Regions from separate parts of the Mus musculus genome. Here all the other regions are reported to be linked to region 2. Evidence: microRNA targets listed by miRTarBase, many of them from high-throughput screens and not tested one by one. Region 2 holds a microRNA gene; each other region holds the end of a gene's coding sequence.

The links. The annotated mature microRNA mmu-miR-19b-3p reads UGUGCAAAUCCAUGCAAAACUGA and lies in region 2 at 2,951-2,973, shown strand. An mRNA with a match to its seed (bases 2 to 7 or 8) in the 3' UTR can be bound and repressed. Matches are read on the target gene's strand: a 7mer-m8 pairs with bases 2 to 8, a 7mer-A1 pairs with bases 2 to 7 and ends in A, and an 8mer does both.
Region 1: the mRNA of Tmem25 is a reported target of mmu-miR-19b-3p. Seed matches in the 3' UTR shown: 7mer-m8 at 900-906.
Region 3: the mRNA of Mylip is a reported target of mmu-miR-19b-3p. Seed matches in the 3' UTR shown: 8mer at 1,707-1,714.
Region 4: the mRNA of Rin2 is a reported target of mmu-miR-19b-3p. Seed matches in the 3' UTR shown: 8mer at 3,078-3,085.
Region 5: the mRNA of Mink1 is a reported target of mmu-miR-19b-3p. Seed matches in the 3' UTR shown: 7mer-m8 at 818-824.
Region 6: the mRNA of Gadd45a is a reported target of mmu-miR-19b-3p. The part of its 3' UTR that is shown has no 7-base or 8-base seed match.

The regions. Positions count from the first base shown.
Region 1 is chr9:44,790,633-44,795,701 of GRCm38, reverse strand. Tmem25 (transmembrane protein 25) reads left to right here. Exons shown (of 8, transcript NM_001357385.1): 5 at 1-20; 6 at 192-292; 7 at 425-511; 8 at 654-1,930. The coding sequence ends at 727. It overlaps Ift46 (intraflagellar transport 46), which reads right to left. Exons shown (of 12, transcript NM_023831.3): 12 at 2,988-5,069. Among named protein-coding and RNA genes, the nearest start is that of Tmem25, 6.1 kb to the left of the region's middle.
Region 2 is chrX:52,739,892-52,744,963 of GRCm38, reverse strand. Mir19b-2 (microRNA 19b-2) reads left to right here and starts at 2,898; the gene lies at 2,898-2,981. It overlaps Mir363 (microRNA 363), which reads left to right and starts at 3,197; the gene lies at 3,197-3,271. It overlaps Mir92-2 (microRNA 92-2), which reads left to right and starts at 3,036; the gene lies at 3,036-3,126. It overlaps Mir20b (microRNA 20b), which reads left to right and starts at 2,772; the gene lies at 2,772-2,851. It also overlaps Mir18b, Mir106a and Kis2.
Region 3 is chr13:45,410,118-45,415,189 of GRCm38, forward strand. It overlaps Mylip (myosin regulatory light chain interacting protein), which reads left to right. Exons shown (of 7, transcript NM_153789.3): 7 at 304-1,823. The coding sequence ends at 393. Among named protein-coding and RNA genes, the nearest start is that of Mylip, 23 kb to the left of the region's middle.
Region 4 is chr2:145,885,567-145,890,638 of GRCm38, reverse strand. Rin2 (Ras and Rab interactor 2) reads right to left here. Exons shown (of 13, transcript NM_028724.4): 13 at 3,023-5,036. The coding sequence ends at 4,716. All of the region lies in intron 2 of Gm39954 (a long non-coding RNA gene), which reads left to right. Among named protein-coding and RNA genes, the nearest start is that of Gm39954, 6.1 kb to the left of the region's middle.
Region 5 is chr11:70,613,257-70,618,325 of GRCm38, forward strand. It overlaps Mink1 (misshapen-like kinase 1 (zebrafish)), which reads left to right. Exons shown (of 33, transcript NM_001045964.1): 32 at 1-38; 33 at 373-1,226. The coding sequence ends at 456. It overlaps Chrne (cholinergic receptor, nicotinic, epsilon polypeptide), which reads right to left. Exons shown (of 12, transcript NM_009603.1): 5 at 4,899-5,054; 6 at 4,349-4,449; 7 at 3,891-4,091; 8 at 3,699-3,813; 9 at 2,405-2,519; 10 at 2,144-2,330; 11 at 1,952-2,058; 12 at 1,627-1,872. The coding sequence ends at 1,717. It overlaps 4930544D05Rik (RIKEN cDNA 4930544D05 gene), which reads left to right and starts at 2,638. Exons shown (of 4, transcript NM_001145537.1): 1 at 2,638-2,748; 2 at 2,848-3,048; 3 at 3,142-3,349; 4 at 3,502-3,634. The coding sequence starts at 2,683. The coding sequence ends at 3,542.
Region 6 is chr6:67,031,150-67,036,221 of GRCm38, reverse strand. It overlaps Gadd45a (growth arrest and DNA-damage-inducible 45 alpha), which reads left to right. Exons shown (of 4, transcript NM_007836.1): 4 at 450-1,126. The coding sequence ends at 563. Among named protein-coding and RNA genes, the nearest start is that of E230016M11Rik, 2.9 kb to the left of the region's middle.

The DNA of each region.
Region 1 (5,069 bases), not on the chromosome of region 2:
CGTCCTTCTCTGATATCTAGGTAATGTTTCCTGGGGCTGGGCAGATGGGCCAAACTAAAGTACAAATCACTGAATTTTAAAGTAAAGGACAGTTGGCAACCTGGGATTTCTAGGAGGTCTGGCTTGAGCCTCAAAGCAGACTACCTATCTGCTGGTACCAGGGTCTATGTTAGCTTTTGTCTATCCCGTAGTGACTCCAATAACCTGAAACTGAATAATGTGCGCCTGCCACGGGAGAACATGTCCCTCCCATCCAACCTTCAGCTCAATGACCTCACTCCAGATCTCAGAGGTACCCAGACCAGTTCTCTGCCTGTGCTGAATGCTCAGAACTTTTAAGAAAGAGACACCCCGGTTCTTAGGAGGAGACAAGTCCCACTAGACAAAACCCTGTCCTGGGCACCACTCCATTTGTCACCCACAGGGAAAGCAACAGAGCGGCCAATGGCTCAGCATAGCAGCCGTCCAGAGCTTCTAGAAGCCGAGCCTGGTGGCCTCCTCACCAGCCGAGGTAATGAGCAGAGATCTCCTGTTCTCCTCTTCCCATCCCTGTGCTTGTTATACCCAAGGCCCCTGAGTGCTGCCAACAGAAGGGACTTCCCCAAGCTCCAGAGAACCAGGGTTCCTAATCCCCTGGCATCTCTGACCCACAGGTTTCATCCGTCTCCCGATGTTGGGCTACATCTACCGTGTGTCCAGTGTAAGCAGTGATGAGATTTGGCTCTGAGCTTGATGGTGAGGCATGAGGCCCAGGTGGCCTGTGGACTCCCCAGAGTGCCCACCCTGGTGTCTCCTTCAAGCTTTCCTCTGCCTGTCCCTGTTGTGACCATGAAGAAACCATGTCACTGCCATCTGGCCTGCCTGGCAAGGATACCCTGTGGGTCATGCATGTGTATTTCTTTGCACTCTAACCTGCAAGGCATGGGTACCCTTGGCAGACCCCTGGTCGGAACTAGCCCCTTGCACTCACTGAGTTTGGGGCCCTGCATGTGATAACCTGGTCCAGGCACACAGAACCCTGGCCAGGTGCGTTCAGGTGTCACCCAACATCTAAGAGATGGGCCTATTATATGTCCTACCTTAGTATCCTCTGCACCTTGTGCACATAGGCAGAGAGATGCCTATGTGGGGGACAGGAGGGTCCCTGCACAACTCAGATGTCCTTCCTATGCTATGCAGCTTTGTTCCCTCAGGGAAAACTTAGCCCCTGCTCTATGTATACAACCAAACTGCCCTTTGCTCAGGAACCAGCCCCTTGCCCAGGGACCTGGCCAAGCACAAATAAGTCCCTTTTGCTGCATATCTTTCTACCCTTTTGTCCCCACCTCCTCTTGGGTATCATCGGTCATACCCTAGACCTTCTTCACTGGGCATTAGACCCCCCATTGGTTGGGGCCTGCAGGTGCCAGCTTTTGATGTTAGCACAAGATGAGCAAGAAGAGGTGACCGGTGGGCTGGCTCCCAGGACGACATGTAGCTCTGCATCGTTTTGTACAAGTGTCTGCATTTTAAGCACATTCCCCGGAAGGGAGGAAGGCCCAGGGCCTTCCTGGGTTCCCCATGTTCGGCCTTCCGCAATTCACTGTGAGTGTTCTGAGCACTGAGGATTGGTGGTTGCCCTCTCTGCATGTCTCTCCCACCATGCAGCCTCATTCTCCACCGAGCCTGGCTGCCCCATCCTATTCTTTAGGGGATGGTCACAGTTGGGTATATAATCCAACAGGGCCAGAAGCTTTAGGGGGGACAGAGAAAGCAGGAGCCCACTGAGCTCCGAAGAGCTAATACTTTTTAAAAAGCAACCTGAAAACGACTGGCGACCATCAGAGTGCGGCGTCTATTCTCCCTTCTTCGTATCTTGTTTTGTAATTTTTCTCATGTTACTGGTTAGGGCAGTTGCTACACACACAGTAAACTCCTTTGACCAAAGAAAGAAGTGTTTGTTCATTTCTTCAAAATTTACTTGTGTTTGTTTTTTGAGACTCATGTAGTCTAGGCTAGCCGTGAATTCAGTACTGGACAGAGGCAATGTGATCTTATCTTCCTGCAGTCACTTCTCGAGTGCTGGGATTATAGGCCATGTACTACCACCGTGTTTTCCAAGTATGCGTTAAATGAACCCCACGTCCTCTGCAGGGCCTGGTGTGTGCCACACAAGTGCTTTGCCAGTGCATAAACACTAGCCTTTCCTCCTCCTCCTCCTCTTCCTCTCTTTCTTTTTTCTTTCCTTCTTTCTTTTCTTTTTTCTTTTTTTTGACATTTTAAGCAGATTTATTCACAAAGTAGCAAGAGGATAATGCCCTGTACAAAATACAACAGATTCAGATTCAAACAGAAAAAAAAAAGTTTTATGGACCCCTTCATGAATTTCCACATCACATTATCCTTGTGTAGGGACCATGCCAGTCTTTTCTGTATTAAATGTTTTCGATCACACAGCAGGCACCTGAGTACCCGCCGGGAGCAGCAGTTCAGTATCTGTTAGTCTAATGTGGACTAGTAGTGACCATAAGAGCGGTAGCTACAGCGGTCTGTTCCCTGGAGCCCTGACGGAGCATCTGAGCGATCACTGCACACTTCCACTCCCCATAAGGCAAACTCTAACGCTAATGGTGAGAAAGCAGAGAGCCTGGCCTAGTGTCAGAATGAGGCAGCAACACAGCCCCAAGCCTGACGTGATCACAGCTGGTTTGAGTTTGTAAGGCTCATGAACAGTCTGTGTGTGTGTTGGTCAGGCTGACAGTGGAGCCTTCCCTGCAATCCATTGTGACACCACTTTCTCCCTGTCAGTACATGGCTCGGTTACCCATTCAGTTGCTTAAGCCTAAAATATCTCAGCGTCATCCTTGGTTCTCTTAGCGGGTCTCTCACAGAGGAGGGAATACTGAAGGACCAAACACAGGCCTTGCTGGGTGTCCCCCAGCCCCACCCCACCCCACCCTCTGCCCCCAGCATCTTAGCAATCTTTGGGTCTTTGGATCACAGTCTTTGGGTCTGGTTTTATTTCTACGTATTTGTCCTGGAGTCAATCAAGCCTGTGCAATGAGGTCCCCATAAAAATTCCAAGGGTGGGGCTGAGAGCTTCCACGTGGACAAAGGAAAATTCCTCATTCTTGTGCTGCTGGGTTCTGATTCCTGGTCTGCATTTTTGTCTGTCATGGGAGGTGAGGAGGTGAGAGGAAGCAACCACTTTGCTCAAAGTCCCTGCAGTGGTAGGTGAGGCTCTGCAACCCTCCTCTGCCCTCAGCATCATCTGGCCACAGCCACCTCCTAGATACCAACCTTTAAACTACCATGCACCACTGTGTGTGTGCCCGCATGTGTATGTGTGTGTGCATGCTCATGCAAGTGCACGTGGCTTACAGAACACAAGTTTTAGTAGTTTTCTCCTTCCACCATGTGAGTCCCAGGGATTGAACTCAGGTGGCCAAGCTTTGTGACAAGCACCTTTACCTGCTGTGCCATCTTGTCAGTTCCTTCCCCATACTTTTGTCACCAAATTGTTGTGTTAAATGTCCTTTGTTAAAAACATCCAGAATGGGGCAGGAGAGATGGCTCAGCAGTTCAGAGCACTGGCTGCTCTTCCAGAGGTCCTGAGTTCAATTCCCAGCAACCACATAGTGGCTCACAACCATCTGCAATGGGATCCGATGCTCTCTTCTGGTGTGTCTGAAGACAGCGACAAAAACCCAACAAAACTCTAGAACGGTTTCAGGTTTCCTGGCTGGGAACCAGTTGATACCACTCCAAATTGCTCCTGAATCTCTCCTCCACTTCCACCCCGCTTAAGCAGCTCCTCCAAACACTGCCACAGCCGTGCTCCCTGGAGCCACACGCTCTTGCCTGTGCCTCTCAACCACCAGTGGTTAGTCAGGCGTCCCCACAACCCGCTCCTCGGAGTTCAACATATTGCAGAACCTAGAGAAACACTTTTCTCAATTTTTCATGAAAGATGGTCAAAGGATGCAGGTGAAGGGGTGAACAGTGGGCACGGTGGCTCAGGCCTGTAATCCTAGTACCCAGAAGCAAAAGGTGATAATGAACTCGTAACGCCTGAGCTTCATAGTGAACTGTAGACCACTCTCGGCTGTACAGAGAACCAGTCTAAAACAAATACAATTATTTTAAAATTCACAAAGATGTGTAAGATGCATGCCACCTTTTGGGAACCTCCCTGTATCTGACTGTCTGAAAACTCTCCAAGGCCTGACCTTTTGAGTTTCCATGGAGACATCACACGAAGGAACAGCTGAAACCTGGACCACTATGCTGGCATGTGACTGGGCAAAAATGGTCTGATCTAATGCTGTGGTTTGGGTGGGATGCCAAGTGAGGTCTGGAAATTACTCAGTTTGCTTCCTTGCTGGTAAGGGGCAAGTGCCCATCTAAATGAGGGTCTTGGTCTATTATCCAGATAGGTCAACAAATTTAAGAATAAACTGGGTTTGCTGAATATACCTGAAGGCCTGGTACCTGGGAGGTAGAGGTGGAGGCGGGAAGATCAGGCCTTCAAGACCAGCCTGCACAGATAGTTCGAAGCCAAGCTGGGCTACAGGAGATGCTGCCTCACAACACAAACAAAAGTAAAATAAAAGAATGTAAGATTGTAGGAGCAGATGTCCATGATTGCCTTGGGGAAAGATTCGGGGTTGTGGGCTGCTTGGGGAGAAAGGGAGGTGAAAGAAGGGCAGAAGGTCAAATAGAAGGACATGATTCTCAGAGGCACAGGCAGGCCTGCTGTAAGGCCCCAACCCGACCCTACTCACTCTAGAGAGCATCAGGGCAATGGGACACTAATGAGCCAGAAGCCATGGGTGAAAACCAGTATGTATTCCATCACAACCTGACAGAGCAGTCTGTGTGTCTCTGGAAGCTCTGTCCCCAACCTGTGTCCTGGGGCTCTCAGAGTCCCAGTTCTTCCAACTCAGAGGCCCACAGCAGAGTGGCTACATCCTTCCTCTGGAATGGCAACGGGAGGCAGGTGTAAACAAGGTGTGCCCTGCCCTCGAGGACAAGGCAGCAGGGTTCATGTTGACAGAGCCCAGCTGTGGAGCAGGGAGACATTAAGCTGC
Region 2 (5,072 bases):
CGCACTCGTTGGGACGTGGGGACACCTGGGTCCCACAACTGCTTGGGCCTCGTAGCCTATCTCCAGAGGGGGATGGGACAAGCGCTTCAGGAGCCTGACCGGACAAGGTAGTAATGAGTGCGCCATTCTGGGCAGGCGACTGTGGCACTGGTTTAGACTGGCATCCCATGGGTGCTTGGATTAAGGAAGGACTCTGGTGTTGGGGACAGAAGGGCAAGGCTGAGGGAGCGGGTCCTGTGTGTCACTGGGGCACCGTGGGCTTTGGCCTGGGCGGTGTGGGGGTTCCATTTCCTAATTCCTGTGTGGGCCGAGTGGGCGGGGGCGGGCTTTCCCCCCTAGGCTATTAAAGGCGAAGGGCGGGCTTTTCCCAGGGATCGGGCTTTGGGACGCAGCTCGAGGTGACGGACCGCTGCCACAGGCTCGTGTGCACAAGTGGTGCTGCGCGGACACTTTGGGGGTTAGGTGTGCGTGGGCCGCCGGGGCGCGTTTCCTGCACGTGGCTCCTCGCCGCCCTCCCTCCTCCACCAGCTAGGAGAGCAGAGGGCCAGGAGCTCTAGGAAGATGCGTGCGGTTCCCTGATCCTGGCAGGCAGGACAGCAGCGGGATGGTCGCGCGCGCCACCTGCCAGGGCGGGTCACTGGCAGATCCCCTACGCGCTTGTTCTGGATGACTGGACCAGGAGATGCGTACCTCCGCGGGCGCAGCTGTGATCCCAGAGAGTTAACTAAGGTGGGAGGGGATGGAGCTGGCAAGACTTGAGAAAAGCAAAGTACCTGAGTGTAGTTGAGGGGTGCCAGGCAACTCGTGAGAAAAGGACTCTCCCTTGTTGCTCTGAAGGTTTCTGGAGAACTTGTGGGTGGTCAAATGCCAGGGTGCACGTGGGGTGTGGGGCGGGAGGACTCCCGACCTACCTTGGTTTCCCTCCCACCAACCCGAGAATGGAGGGAGAGGCTTAAGCTTGGCGCGTTTTGGGGGCTTTGAATGGAGAACTCCGTTTCCCATAATGCTTTGTTTCTTTCTGTTTAATTTTGGTGGCCGCTAAGGTGTCTTGAAGACCTAAGCGCGTGGCATGACTGGCTGGAGCACACCCTGCGTTCCCAGGAGGTTCACAGATCTCTACTGGAGCCGCTGCTGAAGATGCGGGAATAGACCAGAGAAAATCCCGAAATGGTAAAAGACTGGGTCCTCTTTGCAATTTTAGAAGTTGTACAGCGACTTTCTAGTATATATGATGGAGAGCAGATGTGTTAAAGAAAGGTATTAGCTAGAAGGAGCTTTCTCTGGAGGGCTGAGGTATGGTTTTGCGAAGTTGAGTCAGGTTTTGTAATATATTTTTAGTGGAGGCAAAAATCTCTAGTTGTAGGAACCCAGTTCAAGAAGAAAAGTATAATAAGCCAATACTTGCACTATAGGAAGCAGATTTCATATTTACTTCAAAAGTTTTGCTAATTTATATTTAAAATGTTTTAAGAACTATCTTAGTCACTAAGTGGCTTCGAAAAGTTCCAACATTTAAAATATCCTTTCTCATTGAACACATTTCAAGTTTTGTGTCCCTGAAGTTTATTGGTGTCCCCCCATCAACACAAACATTCCATCATGGGAGGGAGGGAGCTCGTGACCCCTCAGACTGTCCTCTGCAGCATTTTCCTGGGTAAGATACACACTTGGAAATGAGAGAGGTTTTTCCTGTGGAAGATAATGACATGAAGCCAAAGAGCTAATCTGACTTCTTTAGGTTTAATGGAGAAAATGGGTCCATAAATGTTTAAACAGAAGTAGAGCCCTTTGAAATAGATGAAAATGTGACATCTCTAGGCCATCTGTGCGGTATGTGAAGAGTGTAAAACTGTTTCTTAAAGCGGCTCTGAAATTTCTATCATTTTCTCTTAATGGGCTGGGGGCAGGGATGCTTCATGTAATCAAACATAGAGACCTTCCGAGTGGCTCCCCAAAGCTCTGGATGAGCTCAAGACGTCAGTACTCACCCTAATGTTATTTATTTATTTTTTTGCTTACATCTTTTCCTGGGCTCTTGCCTCTTAGAAAACCATGGTGGATATTACAGCTCTGCAAATTTTCTGGGATGCGAATCTCAAATTTCCTTAGACGGAGAGGGAGTCCAAAATCCTCTTACTCTTAAGAGTCAGACATTCTGAGATTGCCAGTGTTATTCATGTTTAAGTCTGTGTAAATAATTGAGCTTATTAATGTTTGAAGTAACACAACCCCATTTGCACTCTTAACGGAAGGCAAACTTGTTTTAGAAATAGTAACTCACAGTTCACTTACTTGCTGTGTGTGTGTGTGTGTGTTTATCCAGGTGAGTCTGCAGATCTGGCAAAGAAGAGTTCGTGGAAGACTTCAAGGTTACACTCCTGGAGTATGCCTTGGCCATGTCAAAGTGCTAACAGTGCAGGTAGCTTTTTGAGTTCTACTGCAGTGCCAGCACTTCTTACATTACCATGGTGATTTAATCAGAGGCCGCTGAGTCCCCTGGTTTCTGCATAGTTAGATTGTGGATGTTTTTGAGCTGCTCCTTGTAATGTGTCTCTTGTGTTAAGGTGCATCTAGTGCTGTTAGTGAAGCAGCTTACAATCTACTGCCCTAAATGCCCCTTCTCGCACAGGCTACTTCTTACCTTGCATTTGAAAAGCATATCTTGAGAAATGATTTGAACGGCACAAGTTTCAAAGGCTCTTTCAGTGTTTCGCCGAGAAACAGATGGCGGAGACTGTAGTATACAGTTGTGTAGAAGAACAAGCTCGGATCCTAGTAGTGCCAAAGTGCTCATAGTGCAGGTAGTTTTTATACCACTCTACTGCAGTGTGAGCACTTCTAGTACTCCTGGATCAACCAAGGTCTTGTTGAAGCAACTACAGCGCAAGGACATTGCTACTTACGATTAGTTTTGCAGATTTGCAGTTCAGCGTATATGTGAATATATGGCTGTGCAAATCCATGCAAAACTGATTGTGGGAATGTGTACCTTTCTGCATCGTAATGGACACCTTTATGCACATCTTCAGCATCCATGCCCATTCATCCACAGGTGGGGATTGGTGGCATTACTTGTGTTAGATATAAAGTATTGCACTTGTCCCGGCCTGAGGAAGAAAGAGGGTTTTTAATCGTCTTTTAGTTTCTGAGTATTGTAAGTTATGTTAGACTGTAATTATGAAATGAACTGTTTTGCTGTTATCAGGTGGAACACGATGCAATTTTGGTTGGTGTAATAGGAGGAAAATTGCACGGTATCCATCTGTAAACCGCAGGACCTATGTGGACAGCCGTCTATCAGTGCTATAGTAAGATTGTAAAATCCTTTAGCTAGTCATTGCTTTGAACACATTTGGAGTGGATTTTTTTTTTTTTTTTTTGGTTTTTCAAGACAGAGTTTCTCTGTATAGCCCTGGCTGTCCTGGAACTCACTCAGGGTGGCCTCGAACTCAGAAATCTGCCTGCCTCTGCCTCCCAAGTGCTGGGATCAAAGGCGTGCGCCACCACGCCCAGCTTGGAGTCTAATTTTTTAAAACTACATATTTTTAAATATATTTGAAATCCTGACATTTTGATTGCACTGAATGTAAACAAACCTGAAATTTGCAAAATAAAGCTGATATATAAGTCTGAAAAAAAATGGGTTTCTTTTTTCTTTTTTAAAAGATTCTATTTATTTATTTATTTATTTATTTATTATATGACAAGTACACTGTAGCTGTCTCCATAGACACCAGAAGGTGGCATCAGACCCCATTCCAGATGGTTGTGAGCCACCATGTGGTTGCTGGGATTTGAACTCAGTACCGCTGGAAGAGCAGTCAGTGCTCTTAACCACTGAGCCATCTCTCCAGCCTGGGGCTCTCTTTTTTTTCTCTCTTTTTTTTTATTAGGTATTTTCCTCGTTTACATTTCCAATGCTATCCCAAAAGTCCCCCATACCCACCCACCCCCACTCCCCTACCCACCCACTCCCCCTTTTTGGCCCTGGCGTTCCCCTGTACTGGGGCATATAAAGTTTGCAAGTCCAAAGGGCCTCTCTTTCCAGTGATGGCTGACTAGGCCATCTTTTGATACATATGCAGCTAGAGACAAGAGCTCCGGGGTACTGGTTAGTTCATATTGTTGTTCCACCTATAGGGTTGCAGATCCCTTTAGCTCCTTGGGTACTTTCTCTAGCTCCTCCATTGGGGACCCTGTGATCCATCCAATAGCTGACTGTGATCATCCACTTCTGTGTTTGCTAGGCCCCAGCATAGTCTCACAAGAGACAGCTATATCTGGGTCCTTTCAGGAAAATCTTGCTAGTGTATGCAATGGTGTCAGCGTTTGGAAGCTGATTATGGGATGGATCCCTGGATATGGCAATGGCTCTCTTTTTAAATTAGCAATACTATTGGCTTTTCTAAAATAGCGTCTTGGTATGTAGCTCTGGTTAGCTTGGAACTCAATTTGTAAACTAGGCTAGCCTTGAACTTGCGGAGATCTGTGTGTTTCTGCTTCTAGAATGCTGAGATTAAAGGTAGGCACCCCTCCACTCCTAGACTTCCAGCATTTACATACATTTATCTATCTATCTATCTATCTATCTATCTATCTATCTATCTATCTATCTATCTACTTATTTAGTGTGTGTGTCATGTGGTGATTTGAGAACAACTGTAGGGAGCTAGTCATGTGGGTCATGGACATACATCTTAGATTTCTTAGGCCCGATGGCAAGTGCCCTTCCCCCACTGAGCTGAAAACAAATTTTATAGGGTATGTCTTGAAGGAACATTTGAATATAACTGGAATTTAAGTTTGCGTTGAGTCTTTGGTTTTATCACTACTGAAAACCCTGCCAGTCCCATCTCCAGAGAGTGACTGTCATCAGGTGAGCCCTCAGGATTTGCCTTTGTAACCCAGTCTCAGGTGCTGATGGTGCTCGCCCAAAGAACTATAGGTTAAAAAAAAAAAAACGCCCGGTTCTATTTTAAGTTTCAAATTCATAAAGTTGAAAGGACTCAGGCACATTTTTTACCCCACTTTCTCATTCTGTTTCATGTGTTAATGTTAACACTGCCCTGTCT
Region 3 (5,072 bases), not on the chromosome of region 2:
TGAGGTCTTTGAGAACTGACACACGAGGATGACCATTGGTCACACATACACACATGCACACATGCACACGCACACACGCACGCACACACAGTTTGACAGAAAATAGTTTTCTTCAGTGGATGTCTTTTCCTAACATTCGTTGTTAATCTGTATAAAGTATAAATATTCAAGCCTGTTCCAGAGCACTTGAAAGCTTAGAACTGGATCACAGTGGCGTCGTATCTAGAAAACTGACTGTCGGGGCACCAAGGCTGAACTCCCAGGTCCCACAAATGTCCTAACCAGTGGTGGCTTCTTTTGCAGTCCTGTCCGGTCTGCAGATCCCGTGTGGAGCATGTCCAGCACGTCTACCTGCCCACCCACACCAGTCTCCTCAATCTGACTGTCATCTGATGCGTCCTGCACTCGATGGACAAGCCATGTCCCCACAAGCTGCAGTATTGTAAACTATAAGAATAATAACTTTGTGAAGAGCTATTTCACTCTCAACACCCATCTGCCATGAGACATTTTCAGAAACAAGGAGGAAAAGAAAACAAGAATGTGACCACACCTCTTCCGTGAGGAGAAGCAACAGGCCCCATGGCCACCAGGAAGAACTCTGGGACACGGACACATTCCTTGAACTTTAGGGTTGGTTTTTTTTTTTAATGATCAAGTAAAGGAGTAGATAGAATCGTCTTCGTCAGTCAAGTGGCAACATGGCCCAACCGTGGGCACCTTTTAGGAAATGACGTCATATGTCTCCTTCACTTTTTCCCCGGGCAGCAGATTTTGTAAGTGTTTTAAGGATTTCCTTGGTTCTTTTTGTATGGTCATGGAGCGCTGAATATTTTTAATAGGGATTTTTTTTCTTAAAGAAATAGTCCTCATTATAAAAGTCATTTCTGTCTTTATAACTCATTCAAGAACAACTGGAAAAGCTGGCAGATTGAAAAAAAAAAAGCAATCCTGTGACTTCCCAAGGGTTGACAGCAATGTTGTCAGATTGGAAGCAGTCTGGCTGAGAGCCAATAGGTAACTCACCGTGGGTGACTTCCTTCCTAGAGCCCTTCCGTTTCCCCTCATTCCACACCCCATGCCTTTCACTGATAAAAATGCTACCAGTTTGGTTAAGAGACATACATGGTAGAGTCAAGCACTCCCTGGGCTTTGGAGATTGGAAAGCGAGAGTAGCTTCCTTGAAGGAAAAAGATGAGAGAGAGAGAGAGAGAGAGAGAGAGAGAGAGAGAGAGAGAGAGAGAGAGAGATGAGCCAGAGAGCCACTCAGTATGCCCGAGTGGTTCTTCACTTTCCCAAGCACTCACTCCAGCTGCACCCATGGGTGTCGCCTTGCTTGAAGATCAAACTTTCTACAGCCTTATAGGTTTCTAGATAGTGTCTCCTTTTTGTGTATGTCTTGTTTCTCGTTGTTCGAGTTTTCCTATGTCAGTGCTTCCATACTCATTGTCCTGCCCCCTCGGTGTCTTCCAGAGGTAGGGCTACTTCTTTATGTTTCCATATTCTAAGTTTTCACCCCCACTTGGGCATTTTGGAAGCTAGTGAGCTAGGGGGTTTTCTAGGGTGTCAGGAAACCTAGCTGACCTCATCGGGTGCAATACTAGCTAAGTTAAAGCTAGAAGCCTACACTGTCACTTTACTGAGATTTCTGAGTCTACGTTTCATATTGCCTTAATGTAGCAGTAATGTGTTTATGCATTTGTTTCTTTGCACAGACATTTTGTCAGATATTAAAACTCTACTTTTTTATGGCACATATTAGCATATAAGCCTTTATTCCAAGAGGTATTTATTTTTTCACTTGTAAAAAAAATAATGTTTCCACATTTAAAAAAAAAAAAACTCTGTTATATCCTAGAGGACTTCTGTCTTTTATATTCAGGATAATAAAGACTTTAAAGCAAACTGGGCCTTTGTGATCTTATGGTTATTGTCACGTAGGCCATTTTGCCATTGAGTGAGCACTTCACCTCAAGGTTGGGACATTTAAGGTGTTAAGGTGGCTTCACTGAGAGGATCTGCCCAGGTCTTCTATCATCTGTTTTTGGACATACAAGGTTTGAAGGTAGGTGAACAAGATTCTGTGACACACATGGTGTATGCAAAGGATAGCTTGGGGAGGAGGGAAGCAAAGTGGCTCACCCAGTAAAAGATTTTGCTACATAAGTGTGATGGCCTGAGTCATCATGGAACCCACATGAAGAGGAGAGGAAAGATCCAACTCAGCAAAGTTGGCTTATGACGGTCACACATGGGGCTCGCAAGGCTCAGTCACAGCAGAAACATACTGTGGTGTCCGGGACTGCCTTCCTACAGTACTACTGCATGCTTCTGCTGGGCTGTGCTGGTGTGTGCACATCTATGCTGAAAATGCTTTGTATGGTAGAGTATTTTAAACTATCTGTAACTGATACCTTTACAATTGGGAGACAGACCCCAACACAGCCTCCCATTGGTTTCTAGGAGTCAGCTCATTTATTCAACATATTTATTAGACAACAACTCAATGGTTAATGAGCCCCAGAACTTTCAAAGAAAAACAGTCAAAGACACAATTTATCACATACCCAGAGCAGCAGCAGAGTATTGGGTGTCTTTGGGATTTACAGTGTCTGTGTAGTGCCTGTGACACGCATGGGTGCTTCCGTATGGAAGTTCAGTGATGTTCAGGTTTGTGTACATGACTGTCTCAGAATGATAACCAGGATGAATGGGTGGGTGAGTGACAGGTCAACAAATAACATTGCTTGTACTCCATGGGCCAGGGACTTAAGCTTAGCAACCAGCATGAAAACCCATGTATTACTTGGCTTTCTAGAAGCATAAGGGACGACACACTGCTGAGCATAGGAGATACTGACTACCTCTGCTTAGGGTCCAGGGTAAACATGCTTCAGTAGGACCTTTGAGCAAGACTTGTATTCTGTAGATGGGGGAAAAGCCGTATGGCCCCTGTCAAGGCTACAATGCAGCCAGCCAGTGGGTCTTGCCCAGGCTCACATATCAATGCACTGATAAGAAATTAGGCTCTGAAGGAATATGTGGCATGGGGAAACAGTGAGGGGAACCTTCAATTCCAGGTTTGACTTTGGTACTCTCTACTGCCTTCAGAGGCAGGAACTGGCAAGACAGGAAAGCTTGTACAACAACTAACACATGAGACAGAGGAGAGCAGAGAGACAACTCAGTTTTGATTATGTCTTGACATGAAGAAAACAAGGAAAGTGGGCCAGAGAGATGGCTCAGTAGGCAAAGACTGACAAAGTGGAAGATGGATGGAGAGATGGCTCAGCCGTTAAGAGCCCTGGCTGCTCTTGCAGAGGACCTTGGTCAGATTCCCTGTACCCACATGGTGGTTTACAACCAATTGGATCCCCCATTTCCAGGGGATCTGATGCCCTCTTCTGGCCTCTACATGCACCAGACATGCATGTGAGACACAGACATACATGCAGGCAAAATAGTCATACACATACTTTTTTTTTAAGGTGGATGGAGAGAAATCAGTAAAGTTGTCCTCTGACCTCCACATGCTCCCCGTGGCATGTACACACACAGACATACCATGCGTGCACACAATGATCAAAGAATAAGATTTTTTTAAAAAGGGTAAGACAAATGAAAAGACTTGATGAGGCGTGTCATAAAGATTGAAAACAACTGAAAGGAGAATCCATAGGGGGAAGGGGTTAGTGACTTGTTGCTATGACCAGATACCTGTGTCAAGAAGCAACCTGGGAAAAGAAGGATTTATTTGGACACACACTCTAAGAGGAGATGCATCTACTCCATCAAGGAGAGGGAAACATGGTAGCAGGCACATGAGGTTGCTGGTCGTGCTGAGCCTGCCAGCAGAGAGCAGACATTGGACAGGAAGTGGGCTAGGCTATGAAACCTCAGAGACCCACTCTTTTTAGCAGGACTTTTCTCCCTTAAGATTTCACAGTCCTTCAAGCCAGCCCCACCGGCCGAGGACGAAGTGTTCAGATATATGAACCTAAGGGAACTTTTTACATCCAAACCACAGTAGGAGGGATCCTCAGGAACAGAAAGGAATTTGCTTTGTTTGGATCCTGGAAAGCTAACAGAGGCCCTACTTAGAATCACCTGGAACTGGTTAGAAGCCAGAGTCAGACTTCCGGGGTCGGGACTTCCGGGGTTGGGACTTCCCGGGTTGAGAAAGAAAGAAGCCCTTTGTGTTAAAGATGTGAAAGTGACCAAAGAAGCAGCTGGTACCCCCAGAGGAGGCGGGGCTAAAACGTGCTCTTGGAAGTTGTTTTGTTAAAAAGCAAACATTTGTTTTTGGTTTTTCCCCTTGGGCCTTCAAGATAACTAAAAAATGAAAGCCGAGCACCTCTGCCTTCTTTTGGTCCCTGTCTCCAGGCTAAAGAGACAGAGACAGAAATCAATGTCCTTAATCTGACCTCCAGAAGTCATCTTGGATTCCCAGCACAGCAGAAGACCACCAGACAGAGAGGCCACGCCCAAAGATGAGAATAATTACCCATGAAAGTCAGGCTGTACCCTAGAATGATCGTGTGGGGGCCATTTGATGCCTTTAAGTCATGACAGCCATAAGGAAGGACTTCTTCAAAACCCTTCACTAGAATAAGACAGAGACCAACTGATTGGATGTTTGATTATGCACACCCCTGTTTTCCTGCCTCGGTTCCTCCTCTATTTAAATCCAAAGCTTATGCCAGTAGTGAGGGGGGAAAAGAAAGAAGGAAGGAAGGAAGGAAGGGAGGGAGGGAGGGAGGGAGGGAGGGAGGGAGGGAGGGAGGGAGGAAGGGAGGAAGGAGAAAGACATGACAGTTCCTCAGTATGGTGAAGGAGAAAGTTTATTATAGAGATGTGGGAGAGCATAGCCAGAGGCTGACACATCTGGGAGAGTCCAGAGTGGTTGTGACCCTGAACCTCCTGGTGAGAGGGGGAGGGGAAGGGAGAGAGTGGAATGGAGCCCGGTACATCAGCCAGGAGGCCAAAGGTGCAGAAGAAAAGAAGGGGCAGGTAACCAAAATGTCTGGATTATGTAAGGAAGAGCCTCTGGGGGAAGAACAGCCTAGCCCCTG
Region 4 (5,072 bases), not on the chromosome of region 2:
TATAGCTCCCAGGTAGGGGTGGGGTGGGGGTGGGGCATAAGAAGAACTGGAGATGATCACATGAAGGAAAGAGGAAGAGCTAGTGACTACACCTTCTATTGTGTGAGTGACAAATGTCCTGGAAATGTACGAGCTGCTCCGAGAGGCAAGCCAGGGGTATTCTGAATGTCTTTCCTAGCTCTCTGTAGACCTCATCCCCACAAGGCAAACTGTAAAATCTTCAGCTACATTGATTTGAATATATTCTGTCAAAGGAAATACCCAGAGGCAGTCATATAATGCTATTCTAGGTGCTTTTAATATAGAGAATAAGAATTTTGGAAAATCCTGCTTTAGGATTCCAGTTTTTATTAGAATCAAGAAAAGAACCCGTCCCCTAGCCACGTCACTCCTTGGGACATTTTCCATCCAGAATCCTCAGGACAAACCTTGGTTATCCCTCAGGTAAGAGTACTGGCCCACTAGCTGGGCTCTGTGTCACATGTATATAATCCCAGCACTCAGGATCAGGAGTTCAAAGTCATACTTGACTTTTTTTTTAAGATTTATTTATTTATTTATTATATGTAAGTACACTGTAGCTGTCTTCAGACACTCCAGAAGAGTGGAGTCAGATCTTGTTACAGATGGTTGTGAGCCACCATGTGGTTGCTGGGATTTGAACTCCGGACCTTCGGAAGAGCAGTCGGGTGCTCTTACCCACTGAGCCATCTCACCAGCCCCATACTTGACTTTACAGGGAGCTTGAGACCGCCCTGGACTGTGTGAGACCCTATCTCAAAATGACAACAAAGGAGTATTGGCTCTGGACTGAACTGGGGTGGGGATCAATAGTAAAGCACCTATCTAGTCTGGGTTCAATCTCTTAGTCTGAAAAGAAAACAAAGTCTCTGACTCAGGAGTCAGAGACAGGAGGACCACAGCAAGTTTATGGCCAGTTTTAGGGTACATGGTGAAACTTGTCTTAAACATCAAATGACATCAACAAAATGTAAAATGAAGAGTACTGATACCCTTCGGATCTCTGAGTGAGTTCCTGGTGGGTGTGTGTGTGTGTGGGGGGTACAGGTGGGAGTGAGGAGTGGTGGGTAGCCGTGCGTGTGCAGTGCATGCTGGGTATCGAACACAGGACCAAGAGTATGTTACACAAGCCCTGTATTATCAAGCTACACTCCTAACTCCAAATATGCTTCCCTCTTTTTGTTTTGTTTTGTTTTGTTCTTTTAAACTCCCTATGGTTCCTTCCCCAACAGAGTCAATATTCATGTGGAAGTCTGGGCCAGCTGCTACCCACTCATTGATGCTAAAACACAGACCCTTTTCAGTATGGAACATGTTTCCTGAAACAAATGCCAGTTCTTCCCTCCCTCTCCTTTCCCGCCATCTGCTTGTGATTCGGCACTGTAATGTGACTTGTGGAGAAGGTCATCTTCCCCACACGACTAAGGATCACCAAATGGCAAACAACATTTGGGTCTCAAATTTACCCATACTCGAATGGTCTGAAAACAGAGAGTCGCCATTTTGTTCTCAGACACTTCTGGGCAATTACACCACGTGTCCCACATAGACAGATCCCCACCTGTGTGAGTCTTCCCAGACACCTGAGGGTAGAGCCAGGCTCCTAAACACCACAGGCCCCTTTTATTTCATGTTTCTTCCAGAAGAGGAAGGTCAGAGCTGCTAGGGCAGTGAGGCTGCCTTTGTGAATGGAAGCAGTCAGGCCCAGCTTCCTTCCTTTAGTTTGCATTTGCTTGTAGATTTAAAGTAACTTCCACATGATACAAACAACCTTAACAATTTCCATTTCTTTCTTTTTTTTCTGTGTCCCTAAGGGGGTCATAGTTGGCAGTCTGTCCAACATCAAAAACAAAATTCCTTCCTCTGGCTGCCATTCAAGATATTTTTAGGTCTGGAAGTGCACCCTCCTCTCCCTCCGTCCAGCATGTATATTTTTACTCTGCTCTTACCCTATCCAAACTCCACCAGGGCCTGTTTCCTGACAAACTGAGAAGTGAGAAATGCCTGCGTGGGGGGAAAACTGAAGACACATGTGTTGAAACTCTGCCAGGGAAGCATTGCCCAATGACAAACCAGGGCAAGTCTTGTGATGTTTTCTTCTGCTCATTCTAGCTTTTCTGACTCTGCTCTCACGGGGCCTGCTCGAACTGCCTAATTTGGATGTCGTGACCCGCTTTTAATCTAAGAGGAGTACCTCAGCCTAAGGACAGCCTCATCGTCTAAATTTGCAGAGTTGGGAGGGCAACTGGACAGATGTCGCGAGCAGTGTCTCTTCGCTCCAAACATTGAAAGCAAGCTCAGTCAGCCTTCCTTCTGGTCTCTGAAGTAGCTATCTTATGGATATCCCAGAAACCCTCTGAACTTCCCTTCTCCCTATCCACAGGGATGCAATGGGCACTTAGCAGTCGCATGGCTGCAATCCCCAGAACACCCAGCAGAGGATCAGGCCTGCGATGCTAGCAGATTTTGCAATCCTAACTCTCAGCCAGGATACAGCAGAGGTTGCCTAAGGACAGGGAGGAGTTGTCTGCAGGACCCTGCCTGGCTCTGAGTTCAGATCAGTTGTGATTTGCTCTGGAGCCATCTAAGCCAAGTACTGGGCTGGATAATCGTGCAAATACTTGTGGGCCATGGACCAACTGTTCTCTTCGCTTTTTGATTTCTGTTCCATTGGTCCATAAGCTTTGGAGCAGTGTCCTATTTGCTCTTCAAAACTACCAGATCAACGTGGAGTTCATGGTTGTGTACTGTGTGCATGCGTACACATGTGTGTTTGCGCCCCTGGATGTTTGAAACAGGGTCTCACTATGTAGCACAGCTTGCCTGCAACTCACAGAGATCCATGTGCCTCTGCCTCCTGGGTGCTATGGTAAAAGGCAGAGGCCACCAAGCCCCAGCCACTGTCATGTACACTTGCACAGCATCTTTGGGTACATGATTATATTCTGACTCAAACAAATAGCTGCCACCACCACCACCAACAACAAAAAAGACAACTGAAGAATATTGCAAAAATTATTTTACATAGGATTATTGTACAGTATTACAATGTATTATGTGCAAAATTCCATTGAAAATCATTTACAAAAGGAAGCACAACCCAGCATGTGCCAAGGGAGGGTTCTGGGACAACAAAAGCCTTGTACAGGGTACGAGGTCCTCCAGATCAGATGCCTGAACATCCTTACACAGGATAGTAACATGGCTTTCTGCTTTTGTTTTGCAATGATCTGTATTACACTGATGTATGACCCTTCTGGAATACGTGTGTCCATAAACTCATCTTATACAACATAAGTCTAACTTCACCATACATCCATGTTTTCTGCTTGTTTTGCTCATTATTTGTCACACTGAGGATGGAACCCAGCATGCTAGTGTGTGAATGTTAGCTCTACCATGCCCCAACCAAATACAGAAGGTTTGTTTTTTGTTTTGTTTTGTTTTTGGTTTGGTTTTGGTTTTAGTGCATTCTCTCCCCATCAACATCTCATTGAACTCAACTAAACTCGTATTATACATGACTTGGTTTCTGCCTCCAAATAAATGGATGTCCTTAGTGTCGGCTTACAAAATGGGTCAGAGGGATCGTTATCCTTGATTTACTTTTCCCCAAAGCAGATAGCATATGGAACAGATCTTTGTCAAAGCTCACCGCAGCACATATTTTACAGTACTGACTCCTTTTCCAACGTCTTGCGAAGAGCCTGAACCTGCAGACTACATTCCTCAGTCCCCCCCTTAGAGTCTGTGTTTCTCTCTCTACCTCTCTCTACATTCATTTCTCTTCTAATTCTCAGCCTCGATTGCTTAAAAACATAAACAGACACCAGCACTAAAAGTGAACAATGTAACAATACACCGCTAAAAGTGAACAATGTAACAACAATGTAACAACAGTACACCCGATTTTTCAAAGGCAGCCTGTGGCCAGCGTCAGGGATTTCTTTAAGACAACCAGAAGTCTCTCCCCACAAATTTGCCGAAAATATCCAGTTATAGAAGAGAGATTATCTATGAGGCGTCTAAAATGCAGTACTCTCAAATCCAGCAAGAGATTTATCTTCAAATATTAAATGTTAAATCACATGCATACTTATAGAATATTTTAAAAGTTACAAAAATATTTTAAAAACCAATCCTGACAGTTTACCTGCAACTGCTATAAAATTTTCTATGAAATATATAAAAACACAAAGGCTCTTTGTAAAAAAAAAAAAGTATAGGATGAAGGATGGACAAAAGAAGGGCAAGAGGGAAGGATGGAGCCATCCACAAAGCTGAGAGGGACCTGACGAACTGCATCGGACAGTCTTGTCAACAGCTGCTATCGAATCCAAGAGAAGAGTTTGTACCTTAAGTGTTTCCTCAGCACATATACAGATGTGTAAGCCAACCCTGAAGCTGGCTAAGGTTAACTAGTTAACTAACCAGTGATCTCAGGACACCTGAACCATTAAATGCAATTTACCATTTCTGGATGAGAGTCTTACTATTTCCCAAATCTCAGCTACCTCATCTGGGCAATGTATCTAAAGGATGCCCTTGGCCAAATCAGCCTATGGATGGCTTAGTCACTGAACTGAGGGATGCTTGAGGAGGTGGCTGTCTTCTAAGCTCAAACCCAAGGCAGCCAGAAAGCTAGACTCTCAGCTCCCTTTTTGGATGTATCAATGGGAAGTCCCAAGTGTCCCCTATGAGGGAGTGAGGTCTTCTCCATTCTGGAAAATCACCCCGTAAGGATCACTCTTGATTCGTTTGTAGACAAAGTGGAAGATGTGGGGCTGAGGCCGGCTGTGCAGTTCGGCCTTGATCTTCTGAGGATAAGTGTCCTCTGCCAGTTGTTGCCATGTCTCATCAACAAAGAGAAACAGGCTGTACTCTTCAGGGTCCTCCACCTTAAATTTCTCAGCACAGAGCTGACACACATCCTCTGTGGTGATGTACGGTCTCACAAGGAGGGTCTTCCCAGTGCATCCGCTGTTGACCTCTTGGAAGGCAACTCGGAGGTAATTCTGCAAGGGGAAAACAGAGATGTCAGGAGCTAGCGC
Region 5 (5,069 bases), not on the chromosome of region 2:
CCCAGAGGCTCAAGTTCCTGTGTGAGCGCAATGACAAGGTGAGGCAGTGTATCTCTGAAAGGAGCCTAGCCCAGGGGATGGGCTGCCTCTCCAGACCTTGCTCTGGGCAGGCATCTGGGGGTTTGGAATGGTTCTGCTGTTCTGAGCTGTCAGAGCCACACCCTCCTTCCCTGTGGGCTCTGTTGCCTTTACCCCAGGGACCTGGTAACACTTTTTTGCCTTTCCTTGGGGATAGAGAGAAACAGGTGTCATTCACTTCCTCTCTCTCCCCCAGTGTCAACCTCGTCTCTCTTCCCAGCATACCCCTCCCCCCCGCCCCCACACCACACACACACACTTAGCCCTTGGTGATGTCTCTTCTACTTTATTCAGGTGTTTTTTGCCTCTGTCCGCTCTGGAGGAAGCAGCCAAGTTTACTTTATGACTCTGAACCGTAACTGCATCATGAACTGGTGACGAGGCCCCTGGGCTGGGGCTCCCCACATGGACCCAGCTCTCTTCCCACAGCCAGACTACCCAGGCCGCCCCTGCCCTCCCACCCCCTTGGGCTTTTGCTTTTACTGGTTTGATTCACTGGAGCCTGCTGGGAACGTGACCTCATATCCCTGAAGCTTTCGTGATCACGTGACCACCCTTTCCCCCAACATTCTCAAAACTGTGCCTTTCCCCAACTTGTGGGGAATGACACAGCTTCCTTCCCCTTACCAGGAATTGAGTGGGACTTGCTCCTCCCCTTTTCTCCACAGAAGAGGAGAGCGCTTGGGGCTTGGACCCCTTACCCCATTGCTGCTGAATGAGCAGGGCCCTGACCCCTTTATTTGCACGCCAGGGGAGCCGGCTCCCCCCTTGAATGTACCAGACTCTGGGGGGGGGGTGTTCACTGGGCCCTGGGTTCTGGAGGCGGGGCGGTCACCAGCCACTCCAGGGGCAGGGACCATTCCTCATTTTCTGAAAGCACTTTAATGATTCCCCCCCAACCCCCAGGGAATGGAGGAGGGACCCCATAGCCAAAACATTCCCCCCTTTCCTCCCCACTCCCACCCCTTCTAGCCTCTCCCCTTCCCTAGAAGGAGAGAGCTCAGAGCTCCCAGCCTTTATCCTCCCTTGCTTGCATCTGTATATAGTGTGAGCAGCAAGTAGCCCTTCTCCCTCCTGTATCCTTTCTCAATGTAGTGGCCTTGGATATATCCCCTTTGTTAATAAAGACAATTCAACCAGCTTCCACCATTTTGAGATCCTACTATTGTTCTCTCTCAATCCTGGAGAGATTTGAGAGTTGAGAATGCAGAGGGTAGAGGAAAGGCATTAGGCTCTGTGAAGTTACTGTGATAATAGAGACGAAGTAAGGTGGATGAATAGGCCAGGGATCAGTCCTGACACGGTAGGACCCTTTGAGAATAGTTTTTACCAGCCCCAGCAGGGCCAGGCCAGACTTCTGGCTTCAGTGTTTCTATATCTGGGTCTTGTAAAAACCTCATTGGCTATCAACTAGATAAACATTCTTTAGGTTAGAAGGAGCCAAGAGCAAAATTGAACCAATTGCCTCCAAGTGCCTGACCAAACCACCCACCCATCTTCTACTTCCCTGAGGAGTTGGACCCACCCACATGACCACACAACCCCTCCTGCAAGTTCACAAACCAGATTTATTGTCAGCGGCCTGTTTTCAAAATCTCTTTCTTGGGGGGTGGGGGAGAGGTGGGTGCCAGTGCAGGCTCATGGTTGGATGCACGGTGGGTAAGGGAGATCAGGAACTTGGTTGAAGTAACCCCCAAGGAAGATGAGAGTAGAACCAACGCTGAAGAGCACCAAAGCTGCCCAAAAACAGACATTGTCCAGGGCCTTCCCCATACGCACCCAGTCGGACAGTTCCTGTGAGAGAGAGCTTAGCGAGGGAGGAGCCTGGAGGGCGGGGCATCTAGCACTGCTCCGCCTCAACCTCCCAACCCACCTCTCCAGTGGCTTCCTGGTCTCTTGTGCTCTCAGCCACAAAGTTCACAGCATCCACACAGCAGCGGATTTCTGGGGCTGCAGCACCCAGGTTCTGGCAGAGGGCTGCTGCTAAGGCAACAGCAAGCGCTAGGTCATTAAAAGAGCGTCCCTAACGGCGAGTGTATGCCTTTGACCCAAGAGCAGTGCTTACCGGTCCAAGTTCCGTGCCGATGCCTCTGACCCTCAAACACGAGTTCGCTCCGCGGCTTTTTCAAGATGAGCTCCTCCGCTCTGAGCAGAATGCCCACAGACGAGGCACGCCTCGCTGGTGAGGCAGTTCGGGGATCCTCTGGGGGTGGGCTCGAGCCCAGGAGACGCGGCAGCAGCTCTAATAAAATCTGCAGCCGGGGCAGAGAGAGGTTCCAAGCCCGCTTCCCACCCCTGGGCAGTACTTTCTCCAACCAGCGCTTACCTGGCGCAGCCGAGGGGATGTAGCATGAGTCGTTGGCGTCCTCAAAGATACGTTGAGCACGATGACGCAATTCATGACAATGAGCGTGGCAACCACCATGACGAATATAAGATACCTGATATACAGAAGCCTGATGTCACAGCACCCCACAAACAAGGCACTAGCTGCCCTCTACCTCACAAATACCACCTCCGCACAGCTGGTGGCGTTACTTCTTGATCCTCCTCAACGATGCCAGTATTGTCCTGGCCCTTCTGCATATACCATCTGTTGCGGACATGAAGGGGATTCCCAGCAATTTGGACACCCTGCTGTGGGTCTACCACTTCCACAGCTCCACCGAGGTGAGGGTATTAGAATGGCAGAATCTGGAGAGGTCCCCAGCTCTTCCTGCTATGGCCCTTTCCATGTGATCATTCCACTCACTACCCTTGCTCCTCCAGGTGGCCTTACAGCCTCCACTTCTATCTTCCCTGGAACTTGCTGTGGCCGCAGCTCACGAATATCTGGTGCAAAGGTTCAGAGAGCTTAAGTCCCAGGACCCCCTGGAATCCGACAAGTCGCCCACCCAGAAGGCCACCCTAGGGCTGGTGCTAAGAGAAGCTGCAGCCAGCATCATGAGCTTTGGAGCCACCTTGTTAGAGGTGCTGCTCTGGGAGGCTGAGGGATGGGAATAAAAGGGGGAGAGGGCTAGGCCAACAAAAGCAAGGACCTCTAGCCCATATGCCCCAATGTAGATCTCGGCCCTGTGGCTGCAGCAGGAGGTGCAGCGACTGGACGGCGGCAACGACTGCCCAGGCCCAGCCCCAGACACTGGGGATCCTGGTAGGGCGCTGGCCCGTGTAGCCCTGGCCGCAGGGCAGGGGATTCGGCAAGCTGGAACGGCAGCTGGCGCAAGTGCCCGGTACCTGATCCAGGGGGCGTGGTTGTACCTGTGTGGACGAGGTTTGCACGGGTCTACCTCATCTCTGCCACAAACCCTATGCCAACTGGGCCTTGGGGTCCCTGGGGATCCGGTGCGTTTGGGATAAAGGGTGCGACATGGGTCAGAGGAGGTATGATTAAGGAGATGCTGAACTATACTGTCCTCTTAACAGAGAGACTCGGGAAACCTCAAGGTGTCGCCCAGCAGCAGTGAGGAGAATGGGGGAACAGATAATCCATCACTGTCCCAGTCCAACCCTGTGTCCAAATAAAAGTCCAGAACGGGACAACACCAGGTCCCTATGCAAGCCTTCTTTGGCTACATTCTCCATGCATGCCCCTATCTCTGTGGGATCCACTTTGAGATTACCTGCCCAGCAGTGGCACGCTCAGAGAAGTCTCTGGAATTTTCTGGGCAATTAGAAACAAGAAGACAGTCTGGGCTAGCAGGACGTTGATAGAGACCGTGCATTTCTGGCCACCAGCTAGAGGGAGCAAGCTGTGAGAGGCAAGCCAGGGAGCAAGCCCAGCCTGGGGTTCAGGAGTCAGGGTCACCCCTTACCCTGCGCAGGCAGGAAGTAAGCGAGCAGCACCAAGCCAGAAATGAGCACGCAAGGCACAATGATGTTAATGACGTAAAAAAGCGGCTTCCGGCGGATGATGAGCGTATAGATGACGTCAGTTTCTCCAGGACCTTCTGTGGAACCTCCCTCATAGCGGCGAATCATGCCTGGGCAGTAGTCTATGGCCCATTCTCCATTCTCTGCAGGACATAGGGCACAGTCAGCCCGCACACCTGCAACTCCAGGCCAAGAGGGCTGCTTGAAACCTGGGCTGTTAGCACGGGGGCAGAATGGTAGAGAGGGGCATTTCTGGTGGGGGTGTGGAAACAACACATCTAGACTGACTTCAAGAAGCTCAGCTTCCGGTTGTGTGGTTCAGGCCAAGCCCTACCCTGAACGTCCCCCCTTGAACCTTATCTGGGAGAAGAATTTTTGGAAAGGGGGTATATCCCTTCACCGGTAAAAGCTGCCGTGTCAATGTCAATCTTGTTGATGGTATTGCCGTCGTCATCCACGGCAAAGATGAACTCCACCTCCTCAGCATTGTAGGTCTGGGAGCTGTGAAACAGGGCCAGTCTTTACCCCAGAAGCTGGCAGCCATCTTAGTTCCACCCTGGAAGCTTCAATCTGGCAGGGTAATATGGCTCTCTTCTTTTGCCCACATTCCCCAGCGCGTTCCCAATCCTGCTTCCTTTTCTGTTCTGTTTTGGGTTGCTGATGGGCTTACCGTGCTATCCAAGGGATTCCTGGACTCAAGTAATTTTTATGCCTCAGACTCCTCCTGGGGAATAGCTGCGACTATGCGCTCAAACTACAAGATGGCAGCAAGAAACCTGTGCCCACGCCTACTGCAAACCTACACCAGCTTCCCACCCCTTCACTCCAGTGCCTCACTCCAACTCCTTCCCAAAGACCTTCCAAAGAAGACCCCACCTATCCCTCCTTAGCAGGCCCTGTCCCCTGCTCTAGGCCCTTCTCAATATCATGATTGAAGTGATTCTTCCTACCGAAAAATGAGAGAGCAGTTCTGCCAGTCAAAGGGGAAATAGGTGACCTCCACTGCGCAGGTGCTGCGGTAGATGGCTGGGGGCAACCAGCTCACATAGCCTCCCTCATAGACTAGAACATTGCTGTCGTAGGCCACTCCAAACTGCCCATCAATACTGTGGAAACCAAGC
Region 6 (5,072 bases), not on the chromosome of region 2:
TTTCAGAAAGAACCGTGCTGTCTAGGTCTTCTGGTTTTTTGTTTTTGTACTCTTTCTCTTCTGACTTGTGTAGGGAAGTGACTGCCTGGTTACTTGTTGCTGCCAGTAAAATGTGCTATTCATCGTCAGGGAAGATAAGAGTTCAGCAGCTGCCTGCCCTGCAGCCCTCACCGTGCACACAGCCTGAGAATGCTTTTCAGGAGTCTTTTACTTATGACCCACCAGGGTACATGCTTGGAAGGGAGGTCTTAAGAATGGTAACCTCATGCAGAATGGGGTAGTTAATATGCAAAACTCTGTGTAGTTCCGTGCACGTTACAGGTGTTTAGACTATGCTAGATGCTGTTTTTAACAGAATGTTCGGGGTTTGGCCCTTTCAAAAGTAGCACAATTAGTAGCAGAAGCTGATTATTTTCCGGGGAAGTAATTTTTTCAAAATCTGTTCACAGAACCCACATTCATCACAATGGAAGGATCCTGCCTTAAGTCAACTTATTTGTTTTTGCCGGGAAAGTCGCTACATGGATCAGTGGGTGCCCGTGATTAATCTCCCGGAACGGTGATGGCATCCGAATGGAAATAACTGAACCAAATTGCACTGAAGTTTTGAAATACCTTTGTAGTTACTCAAGCAGTCACTCCCCACGCTGATGCAAGGATTACAGAAACTGATGTCAAGGGGCCGAGTTCAACTGCACGAGGGCTCAGAGATGACTTTGCAGAGGGAGAGAGAGGTGAGCCTGAAGAAGGAAGCTGCGAGAAAAGAGAAATCCAAGGCAAAAGGGACAAAAACTACAAAGCACTGCAAGAAAGAAAACTGCTAATTTAGGATGGCCAGGTTACTTTCAAATAAGCCAAATATTGCTTTGTTGAAACTTTAAATGTATAGCAATAGTTTGGGTATTTTTTTTCTTTTTTTTTTTTGGTCTTTATGCCCTCAAATAAAAGGAAAGTAAAAGAGGATTAATCATATTTTCAAGCCACAGTTTAAATGTATTTTGATGAGATGTTAAATTCTCAGAAGTTTTATTATAAATCTTACTAAGTTATTTTATGATGTGAAAGGTTATTTATGATAAAGTTTTTGAAGCACATTATCTAAAATAAACTGGTATGGAATAATTGTGTCATTTCTCAACGTGTGGTTTGTGTTTTACAATATTGATTATTGGACATTCTATTGAAGCTTTGCTGTATTTTACACTAGGCAGGAAGATGGTGGGGGGGGGCGGTTGTAGAGGGTCGGGGTAAGGAAAAAGGGAATATGGCAAGATTCACCTTGCAAAGTCTAAATTACAGTGAATGACTTAAATGCTATAATTAATTGCATGCAAAACGTGGAAGCAGAGAGGAGGGTTACCAAAGCTGCTTGAAGATGAGTGAAGCTTTTACTGAGGAAAAAACATTTCATTGGAGGCATCAAAGATCACAGCCTGCAGAGAGACCTACGAGGGTGTCTCTGCCTGCCTCTGGTGTAGGCAGATAAGTGAGAGAGGGTTGGAAAGGTGGGGGTTCAGCTCAGATGCTGACAGGAGTTCTTGCATCACCATTATGTATTTGAGCTTCTTTCTGTGAACTTGCCACAGTCTGCAGAAGGAAGTGACCTGGTCAGTGTTGTAGGTAGATAACTTGGGGAGGTATGGGGTAGTAAATAGGGTGAGTGGCTGGCTATACAGTACCAGCGTAAGGGAGAACCGTGGCAAAGGGCAGGTTTTGTCAAGTTGTAGCCTCTTCCCAGAGAATTTCCCCTACTGCTGTGAGAGGTCTGATTATGTCAGGGAAGAAGTGTCAGAGGAAAAAGAAGAAGAAAAGACTTCAGTAGAAGAAGCCTTTCTACTGTCTGGTTAGAAAGCACCTGGTAATTAACTGTAGCTGGGAGGCAGAGGCAAGGGAAGCAAAGGTGTGTGCTGAAGACAAAGCCTGGCAGAGCTATAGTCTCCACTGTTTGCCCCTCTCCCTCCCCTCCTCCTCCCCCTCCCTCCCTCTCTCTTCTCCTCTCTCTCTGGAGCTCTCTCTTTCTCTATTTCCCTCCCTCCCTCCCTCCCTCCCTCCCTCCCTCCCTCCCTCCCTTCCTCTCTGGAACTCCTTGGGCCCCTACTGTTTGCCAGCCTTCTTGTGACCATCAGGGAGAGCAGAAGAAACCACAAAACCCTTAAGCTTCTGCCCATCTTGTATAGGCCTATGAGCCTTCTGCTTTTCTACTCTTAGGAATGTGGATTTCTAGGCCTTATTTAGTCTTTGCTTGAAGACAATGTGTAATCCCAAACAACTGGAATAACAACATTTACTTTTATATTAGCAGGAGATTTGAGAGCAATTCCTTTCGAGCAAGCCCTTTAGCCTTCCCACTAGCGGCTTGTTCGGTTTCCACAACTGTTGTATTTCATGAACTAAGTTAAACCAAGTAGGACACGTGGAGAAAAGCAGCTGTTTGCTGGAAAGCACATGAGTGGCAGTCAGGTCTCCACCAGCACCCCCACCATTCATTCATGTGTAAAATGAAGAGCACATTACCCAGCCTACAGAGTTGCCTTTTATAGCTTTGTCATCTCTTGGAAGGATGAACTTAATATCTGGTCCACTGATGTATCCATACATTAGATGATGAGGTAATATTTGTTTAATAAATGAATGATTAGAAATCATTATGAACCCGAGGCTGTAGCTTCAGTGATAGATAGAGCATGTACGAGATCCTGCAATATCTCTGGCTCTGGGGAAATAATCACTACCTGGTACATGGTATTTGCTCGGATCATAGCAACAGGAGAATATTGAAGGCCTTACAGAGAGTTGTTACTTATACATATTATTAAAAAGGAGTTTGAGGCCGGGCGTGGTGGCGCACGCCTTTAATCCCAGCACTCGGGAGGCAGAGGCAGGAGGATTTCTGAGTTCGAGGCCAGCCTGGTCTACAGAGTGAGTTCCAGGACAGCCAGGGCTACACAGAGAAACCCTGTCTCGAAAAACCAAAAAAAAAAAAAAAAAGAAAAAGAAAAAAAAAAAAAGGAAAAAAAAAAAAAAGGAGTTTGAGTCATTTAACCCCAGTGCTTAGTGAGATGAAGTAGTGGGATAAAACCTTCAGATTACTCCATCTCTTGAAAAGCTCAACAATAAGTAGAGTTAGGTATTCTTTTGATTTTTGTTTTGTTGTTCTTTCATAAGATAACTCAAACATAAGTTAAAACAAATTATGAGCTGTTGGCTCAGTAGGTAGTTGCCACCGAAGCCTGACAACCTGAGTTTGATCTTGGAAACCCAAGGGAGAAGAGACTTGACCTCTTCAACTTGTCCTCTGACCACAGAAGTGCATGACATGTGCACATGCACCTATACACATACACACACACACACACACATACATACACACACAAACACACACACACACACACACACACACATACACACAAACACACATACTTATACACACATACACACACATACATACACACACATACACATACATACACACACAAACACACACACACATACATACACACAAACACACATACTTACACACACATACATACACACACATACACACAAACACACACATACATACACACATATACACACACATACACACACATACACACAAACACACATACATACACACACATACACACACATACATACACACACATACACACAAACCCACACATACATACACACACATACACACATACACAAAAACACATACAACACACACACACACACACACCATCACCACACCACACCACATTAATAAAATTCATAAAAAGCTAAATCTATGAAAGAGTTAAGTATAAATAAAGTATGCCTCTAACTTGTGCCAATATTTAGTTAATTGCTTTAGAAATTATTAAACAAGGTTGGGGCAGGAGGATTACTTTGAGTTTAAGGCCACTAGGTTACCTAGTACCAACCCACCCTGGTATCCTCTTAAAAACACAAAAGCAAGCAACTGACTTCCTTACATGCAACAAGAACAAAGACTTTACACACCTACTGAGATGTGCTGTTTGCTGAAAAGTGGAAAATACCTATTTTTCCATAGGTGACTTCATAGATTCAGTATTGCTTCTGCTTTGTCTGGCTAGTCTGGGTCTTTAGTATGTTAAAGCTCCGTAATGAAAAGAGTCCATGAGAGTAACCTTTTATAATAAACTATTTTGCAAGCTAAAATAAAAGGTGCTATTTGTAGGAAGCTAGAAACTTGTAGAGTTGCCTTATGACCTTACTGTAACCTTCATCCTTAAAAAAAAATTGTATTCTTGCCATATAGGAAAAGGTTTGTTTTCTTCAAGAACAAAACTTGATAGCACTGATGCAACACAAAGCTGAATCCCTCACACAAAAGCTGAATTTTTCTTTTCCTTTAAACAATTCGTTCATAAACATAAGAACTTGGTTGAAGTTGTACTTACGAAACTACCAAGAGCTCTTTAGTGAATGTTTACTGTGGTCATTAGAATTGTCTAAAAAAGATCCTTTGGCCTCAGGGAGCTCACAGTCTAGTGAAACAGAAAGCACATTGATAGGGCCTAAAGTAGAGTCCAGCAACAAAAGGTTTAAAGGACTATTGTGGAAGTTTGAAGGGTAGAAGTTTCCTGAGGGCATATAGGACAGAATGGAGGAAAAGGTTGTAAGTTCTTTGATCGGAGTTAGCGTTTCATTTTGCAAACACCATAAAAATGCTTGGCTGATGGATTATATCCAATTCTGCTAGATGCTGCAGAGACTAGAGATGTAGCCTATAGGACCTCTTGGCACTGAGAAGTTTATAATTTGTAAGAAAGTCAAATAAGTTCCTACCAGAGATTTACCGGATGTCTGTCATGTACAGAGTACTGTGTACCAGGGCTATAAAAGCAGCAGTAATTTACCTTCAAGGATGCGCCTAGTTTGGTGCGTGTGTGGTCGTGTGTGTGTGTTTGTATGTGTATGTCCCCCTATCTTGACACTGGGTGAATAGAGAGGTGCCCAACACCTAAGGATTTCTGAGGCTGGAGACAGGTCCCTAAAGTTGACCCATTTGCCAGGGAAAGTGAAGTGCTTTGTTGCAGAAGGAGCTCAGGTGATGGGGTTGACAT